Linked DNA regions of Cricetulus griseus. The protein of the gene in region 1 purifies or fractionates together with the protein of each later gene. This does not show direct contact. Links are inferred from orthologs where the notes say so. Each region holds a gene or a part of one and is shown on either strand. Other genes may lie near its edges. The genes, in order: Sertad4 and Ppp2r2c.

The links.
Region 2: the proteins of Sertad4 (region 1) and Ppp2r2c purify together in Homo sapiens (affinity purification with mass spectrometry; 3 studies listed by BioGRID and IntAct, counting the BioPlex papers as one, with this or other methods). This does not show direct contact. The link is inferred for Cricetulus griseus from reciprocal best matches to the Homo sapiens genes SERTAD4 and PPP2R2C.

The regions. Positions count from the first base shown.
Region 1 is NC_048598.1:2,353,262-2,357,723, forward strand, and holds the start of Sertad4 (SERTA domain-containing protein 4), read left to right. Parts: upstream 1-1,518; coding exon 1,519-1,693; intron 1,694-2,844; coding exon 2,845-2,960; intron 2,961-4,462.
Region 2 is NW_023276807.1:105,893,298-105,897,107, reverse strand, and holds part of Ppp2r2c (protein phosphatase 2, regulatory subunit B, gamma), read right to left. Parts: intron 2,079-3,810; coding exon 1,901-2,078; intron 1-1,900. UniProt on the Homo sapiens protein: The B regulatory subunit might modulate substrate selectivity and catalytic activity, and might also direct the localization of the catalytic enzyme to a particular subcellular compartment.

The DNA.
Region 1 (4,462 bases):
TCTGGTAGCCAGAGGACTTACTACCTTTTGAAGCCAAGATCTCTCCTTCCCTCCAGAAGGGCACTTAAGTGTCATAGCATGTGGGGGATAATGCTGTCCATGAGACAGTGACAAGTCCACTCTTGCCCTAGCCTGAAGGCAAAAGAATAAACTGGGCCCTTGCTATACCAGAAAGAAAATCCATCTTCAGCAAGCAGGCCTGACGTCACTTCAGTGACAGGTCCTTAGAACACAAGTGAGTCACCTGTGCAGGTCTGGATATCCTACAGCAGTGATTCTCAGCCTTTGGGTAATGACCCCTTTGGTAGTCAGTCTTTCACAGGGGTCACCTAAGACCTTCAGAGGACAGATACTGACAATGTAATTCATAACAGTAGCAAAATTACAGTTACCAAGTAGTGATGAGATAATTTTATGGTTGGGGCGGTCACCCCAGCATGAAGACCTGGTTAAAGGGTTGCAGAGTTAGGAGGGTTGAGAACTCCTGTCTGAAAGGACCCAGGAATCGGAGTTGCTGGGTCTGCTCCCTGGCCCCAGACTCCCTTTCTCCCTGGAACATACTCTTGACCCTATTCTGAGGGTCACCACTGAGCCCCATGGAGGTGGCCTCATAGCCTGGATTACACAGGGTCAGAGTCTGGGAGGCCAAGCAGAGCTTCTGAGGCCAGGCTGGCTCCCAGCGTCCTAAGGTCTGGGTGGGAACCAGAGAGGAGGGCAGACGGCAATGTGTTGACTCTTGGAAAGTTCCTGCCTGGTATCTGGCTTTACAGTTTAAAGAGTTGCTGGCTGCCTCTGCCCAGAGCCCTGGCTCCTGTTTAATATTCTGCTGCCTGGTTAGTGTTGGGCTTGGCTCCTGTGGGGCTGCAACTCACGGCTGGAAACGGGAGCCAATTTTCTGTCTTCATCTCACAGTGTTGTGACTGGAGGCAGACCCAGTTCAGGCCGACAAGGGCTGTGGAAACAACTGCCGAGTGTCTGCCTGCTTCACCCCGGGAGGAGAGAGTGTGGCCGAGGAACTGGGAGGAGAGACAAGTGCTGGAAGGACCCTAGGACTTCTGTCCTGCCCCTGTCCCCCTCCCCCATTGACAGCAGATTTTATCAAAGGGGACTCCTAGAGGCTTGAATAGAAAATTGATTTCACCTTATTAATAGAAGGGAAGCACAGGGCTTCTAGCCCTTCCTCTTAGAGGTGCGTTCGTAAGATCGGGAGGAAAATGTATTTAGGATACAGAGCAGCTGTCTGAGAGGGGCTGAGCGGATCCGAGAACAATAAGAGTGGGCTCTAAAGATCCGCCCTGAGATGCAGGCTGCCATTTGCAGTAGCTAAGCTGAGAGCAGCAAGAGTTTGCTGAGGTGTCCTGGGAAAGGTAGTCTGACGGTTTGGTATGAAGGGAAAGGAGAGGAACTGAAAGCCTTCCCAAGTACCAGAGACCATCATCCTCAGGCTGGCTCCTAACCCAGGCTGTATATCTCTCCAACTCACCCACCCCTTCTTTTCCAGGTCTAAGGCTGTCAGAGATGACGCTGGTTCTGTCCATGAATAGATTCTGCGAGCCCATTGTCTCAGAAGGAGCTGCTGAAATTGCTGGGTACCAAACGCTATGGGAGGCTGACAGCTACAGAGGTGTGAGCCCCCCAGGGCCAGCACAGCTTCCTTTGCAGGGAGACCGAGGAGCCAGCCCTCAACTGGCAGGTATTGCCTTTGGCCTTCTCCTTAGGAGGTGGTGTTCAGTCAGGCTGGGCTCCTTGGGAAATCCTACTTAACTTGCTCTACAGTCCATCTGCTGTGGACATCCTGGAGCAGTGGGTTTTTGGTTTTTTGTTTGTTTTTTAAGGGTCTGAACCAGATACTGAAAGTTTGGATTCAGGCTTTGTGTCCTTGGGAAGTGAATGGTCCTCGGGGATGTACACATCACAGGGCCCACAAGCAGAGCTTCTGCCCCACCAGGCATAAAGAAGTCTGCACCCTTACCACAGCTTCAAGCTGCTCTTCTTCATGAAGCACACAGTTGATAAGAAAATAGAAATATATTCTTCTGGGCTTTAATTCTAATAGTCTCACATAAGTTCCTTTGAGTGTTTATAAAGCGATAGTTTTTTTTTTTCCTTTTAAAAAGAAACTGAAATGAAAGCTTCATGAAAGTCTAGTTTCTGAAAAGGTTTTAAAGTCCTCAAAGGAGGCCCTGCTGTATTCATGGTTGACGTGTTAACACTACCAGAGTGAAACAGCATTTAATCACTCCAAATGTTAAGCTTCCATATGTAACTTCGTATCTTAAAAGAAAAGCTATTATAACTCCATGTATGTATGCATTTGTTTACTAACCCTGAAATCAATTCGTACCCATGATTTACTACCTCTGTGAGGTGGGGTCTGAGTCAATGCTGGTATTGCTTTGGACAGGGTCTCTCTCTCTCTCTCTCTCTCTCTCTCTCTCTCTCTCTCTCTCTCTCTCTCTCTCTCTCACACACACACACACACACACACACACACACAACACACCACCACCACCACCACCACCACCACCACCACCACCACCAACGCCATCCATGAATTCCGCTGTTTGCCTGTACAGAGAGTTAAGATCCCAGGCATTTAGTAAATGCTGAAAGGTGGGTGACATTTTCCTCTGATGTGGCCTGGAAATCTTTACCTTCCCAGACTCACAGGATTCAGTCCGCTGGTAGCTGCAACTATGAAGACAAATGTTTGTTTTTCATCACTGCGTATACAGTCAGGGATGTAGCCAAGTTATCCACTCCAGGGAAAGGAAATGAAAGCATTTTGCTTGGAGAACCGCTGGCAGGCTTCGTGTCATTTGTCTATCTGATTTATTACTGCAGGATCACATTACAGGGGAATTCCAAATCCTATAAGCACATCCAAGGTCACATATTTCAAGAGGAAGTACACAGAAGAGGAGGATTCTCACCCAACACTCAGCAGCTGCAGCCGTAAAGTATGTTTAAACAGCAGTTACTTTATTAACAGTTACAATGTCTTGTGGCACTGGCTTGAACCATTTCCAGACATTAAATTGTCCCACCCAAGCAACAGAAGAGAGCCACTTCTTTATGGGACTACATGAATCACTGTCACTTTGGTGGGGGGAACCTGTACTGGATAGCACTAAGTCAATTTGTCACAAGCTAAAGTCATCTGAGAGGAGGGAAGCTCCATTGAGAAAATGCCTCCGTAAGATCAGGCTGTGGGCAAGCCTGTAGGGCATTTTCTTAGTTAGTGATTGGTGGGGGAGGCCCAGTCCATTGTGGGTGGTGCCATTCTTGGAATGGTGGTCCTGGGTTCTATAAGAAAGCAGGCTGAGCAAGCCAGTAAACAGCTCTCCTCCATGGTCTCTGCATCAGCTCCTGCCTCCAGGTTCCTGCCCTGTCTTGAGTTCCTGTCCTGATGTACTTTGGTGATGGCCTACAGTGTGGAAGTGGAAACCAAATAAACCCTTTCCTTCCCAAGTTGCTTTGGTTATGCATTTCATCACAGCAATAATAACCCTGACTAGGGCAGGGCCTGTGTTACTTTTCACAAGTACTTGAAGAACCAGACAGAGATTCTCTGCCTGGAAATAACCACAGTATGTACGGAAGAACACATCTTTTTGTGGATAATTTAATACTCTGGGGCTGCACTGAGGCCCAGGGCTGCTCTTTGATGTCACCTGTTGGGAGATGCACTTGGCTTTCCTGACTCTGGTCTGAGCTCTGCCCACAAGGCTACTTCTGTGTGCTGGTTGAGGTGGTTGTTCAGGAGTTTTCCTGGGGGGGGGTCAATATATTGTCCCTTGGATACGTACATAGAGCTGTTTGTGATACGTTGTGACATATGTCAAGTTTGTTAAAATCCAGAATTAATTCCCAAGGAAGGACCAAAGATAGCTGTTTTTCTTTCCACACAAAATAAGGAAATACAAGTGCATGAGGTGAAGGACCGGGTGCGTGTCTAAGCTTAGGTTCGTTTTCCTCTGTGGTTGCCTCCCCTCCAGAACTGTGCCTCCAGCTCAGCTTCTTCCACCTCTCTGTCCCCACCCCGCCGGCTGCCTCCCCTTGCCCACCCCTCTCCAGGCTTTAGCAGTTGCTTTTGCCTGTTTGTCAGGAGGCACCCATGTTTGTATCTGTAGTTCCTGTGGGTGCTGCATCTGTGTCCACTTTCCAGTTGCTAGTGAGATGTGTCAGCTCTGGAGAAAGTTCAAAGTCTACCTGGGCTTCGTTGTGAGTTCCCAGGCCGCCTAGGCTACATAGGCAAGGACATGTTTGCTGCTTTTTTTTTTTTCACACACACAAAAAAATGTTAACAATAATAGCAATTGCTAACGGACCATCCTCCACCCAGTGTCAGCCTCACTGCCCAGGACTACATCCCCAACTCCAGTTTCTGTCAGCGTGTGTCTCTTTCCTGTCAGCTCCACAAGCCAACAGGTCCTACCTAACCTAGCCTCACTAACTACAG
Region 2 (3,810 bases), on another chromosome or scaffold:
GGCTTATAGGCAAAAGGATCATGGGGCCAAGAGTAAGAGGGGAATAAGCAGAGGGTGGAACATGGCCCTATGGGTCCCTGAAGGACAGACAAATCTTGAGAGTTGGGGGAGAGGATGAGGGAAGTGTTACCAAGGAACACCAGCCACCACTGATGAGCCCAGAGCAGTCTCAGGAGCCAAAGGGACCACTGAGAACTTTGAGCAGAGGCTGACAGAAAGGAATGCAAGACCCTGGTCCAGACTCAGTCCAGCTCTCTGCACTCAGCATCACCTCCAACCCTGACCTCAGCTTCCTCCCCAGAATGGATGAGCCAGGATCCTCCAGGTCTCTCTCTCTCTCTCTCTCTCTCTCTCTCTCTCTCTCTCTCTCTCTCTCTCTCTCTCTCTCACACACACACACACACACACACACACACACACACATGCATACACGTACATCCCTCAGAGGGTATCACATAAGCTCAAAGCCATCCCAGCTCAGCATGAGGTCACACATACCTCTCTCCATGCCAGAAGGGAGACATCTCCAATTACTCAGCTGCCATCAGATCCGTGGAAACACCTGCAGCCCAGAGTCCAGACCCTTTTCTGCTAAGAGAGGCTCACCTCCAGGGAATAAGCCCAGAGCTCTGTTCCAGGTGTCTGACTCTCATCACTCTGTGGCCTGGTACCAGCAGGCCACAGTGGGGCAACATGGCTCCCTGATTAACCTGGCAGTCAGACAGGAGGCTGCTTCAAATCCTAGTTTTCCCTAAGCCACATCCGGGTCTTCAGCACCTGACACATACCCCTTCCTGCATTGAACAAGTCAGGCACCTCTCGTCACCAGCTTACCAGGCACTTTCACAAAACTGGAGCCACACACAAGTTGGACACAGTGTGTCCACAACAGCCATATTAGTTCCCTAGTTCCACGAGTCCACTGACATGTTCCCCTTTCCACTCGAGTTCCCACAAGGCCCGCCAGTCCACTGACATGCTCCCCCTTCTACTCTGCTGGTGAATGCTGTGCTCTTCAACATGGATGAGCATAACTCCTGTATTCTAGATGGGAAAAGGAAGTCAGTGACACGGGGACAAACAAGTCTTGGTGCTGGAGTAATCAACTCTCTTTCCTCATATACAACTATCTTGTTCTAATGTCCTGTGGCCACCTAGGTCCAAAGACAGTTACAACACAGCCCAAATTGAAGAAGTCAACATTCTTTACTGTCTCCATTACATCATCGCTATGCCATTCCCTGCCCCTCACTCCCTCTCAGTAGATACTTGTCATCTAATGAGCTCAGACTCAATGACTCAGGTCCCTTACTGCAAAGGGGCTGGTGACTATCCTATTGTGTGAAAGCTCAGTACATGAAACATCACTTAGTATGGCTGGCATTAATAGTCCACACAACAGTGACATGGTAGCAACCTGCCCTTTCTGGATTGGCCCTGACCTTCCCCAGCTTGGTGCAGGCTACACTCACACATCCTATAGGTGGTCCTCTCCTTAGCAGGCTGGAGGAGGGGCAGTGCTCAGTCCTTAGCTTGTTCTGACACCAGGATCCCATTTCTGGCTAGCTTCTGACACCCATATCTCTGATACCCCAGTTGTTACTCTATATCCAGAGAGACACAACACCGGACATGTTGCCTCTAGCTCTCTTGACCTTTCATGGCTCCTATGGGGACCAAGGTGATGGAGACCATTGCCACCCTAAGGAGGCATGGGGTGTGATGGAGCTTCTCAGCAGCTGTGTCTTTTAAGTGTTCATAAATACTGTGGTCCTACACCTGGCCCCCTTCACACCCTAGATGGGACCACAGTAAGGAAGCTGCCAAAACTAAAGCCCGGAAGCCAGTGTGCTTATATACCACCCTGAAGCCACTTCCCAGCAGGTCAAGCCAAGGATACTGAAGCTCCTATCAGTGATGGCCAGATGCCAGAGGTTGATGCGTAGGTCATCTGCTGACATGTATGTCTCACAGTCGCTGTTGACTGAGATGGAGTTGATGTGATAGGTGTGGCCATTGGCAAAGATCCTCCTCGGGCTCACCTCCACCATCAGGTCCATGGGCTTCAGGACAGGGACCTGCAGAGCAGAGACAGTCAGAGTCACAAGGGAAGGGGCCGGAGAAGTCACAGGACACACAATCTTTTTTTTCCCCCAAGACAGGGTTTCTCTGTGTAGCCTTGGCTGTTCTGGAATTCGCTCTGTAGACCAGGCTGGCCTCAAACTCATAGAAATCCTCCTGCTTCTGCCTCTCAAGTGCTGGGATTAAAGGATTACTGCCTGGCAGAGAACACACGATCTTAATGGGAAGCTGCAACACTCATTCAGGAGCAGGGTGTGAAATAAGCAAGCGGTCGTGTGTGAGATCAATGGTCAGAGATACCAAATGTCCTTCACCTGCCCTGCTAGCGCAGCATGCTCTACATGGCTGTTTAACTGTGAGGTTTTCAAAGCCTCCTGGCCTGTATAAGGGGCTCAGGAATAAACCTGCCCACCTTGCATGAACTGATGATGAGAAACAAGATCAAACATGGGATAGGTTATTAACTGGTAATTTATTAAGAAGGGATACTCACACAAGGAACCAATAACCAGATTTGGCACTCTGAGAAGTCCAGTCCCAGATGCCTCCAAGACCTAGCCTGAACACCCCCGAGAGATGAGGAGCGCCTCTTCCTCGCTCTTTATCCTACCCCTCTAGGTACCTGTGACCATACCCAAATGGGCATGGTCAGCAGTACAGGTATCCAGGGTCTCTCCCTATAAACTGAAGTGCCCAGCACACACACACACACACACACACACACACACACACACACACACACACACACACACGCTTCTCTCTCTTGTTCTTTTTATAATTTATGTGTATGAGCATTTTGACTGATGTATGCATGCACACTATGTGGTGTGCCTGGTACCCAAAGAGGTCAGAAGAGGGCATCAAATCCCTTAGGACTGGAGTTACAGACAGCTATAAGCTGCCATGTAGGTGGTGGGAGTCAAGAACAGCAAGTGCTCTTAATCACTGAGCAAGCACTCCAGCCACCAAAACTCTTTCTTGCAAGTTCCACACTCTGCTGGAGGATGCAAGTCCTTGTGTCTTTTAATTAAGCAGGACAAACGTCAACTTTGCCACAACTCTACAGCACCACATTCTGTCCTTCACTGCACCAAAGAAGACCAGCCCAACTCCCTCCACACTATAATACCCAGGATGAGCTCAACTCAGTAACTACAGAGCAAGTGTGGCTATACTCTGGGCCTCAGTTTTTCCTTTCTGTAATGGGAATTTTCTGACTTGCTTTCCCTCTCAACTGCAGTTGAAGAGCCCTTCACAGACACAGCCCACCACACCATGCCAGGAGAGAAGCATACAGGGTGTCTGCTGTGTAGTGGATTAAAATTTTTCATCTTGGGGAGAATTTTGAAGATATAGGATGTAAAAAGGAAGTGAAACAATGGGATATTTTAGGACAGGATGTTTACAAGGAGGTGAAACAGCAGGATGGTCTAAGGTAGCAGTTCTCACCTGTGGGCTGAAACACCTCTGGGGGTCGAAAGGCCCTTTCACAGGGGTCGCATAGCAGATACCCTGTATTGCAAATATTTACATTATGATTCATAACAGTAGCAAAATTACTGTTATGAAGTAGCAATGAAAATAATTTTATGGTTGGAGGTCACTAGAACCTGAGGAACTGTACTAAAGGGTCATGGCATTAGGAAGGTTGAGAACCACCTAATAAGGGGAGGTGAGATACTTCATCTTTTAGGGAAGCTCCTTTTGGACAGTAGATAAACAACTCAA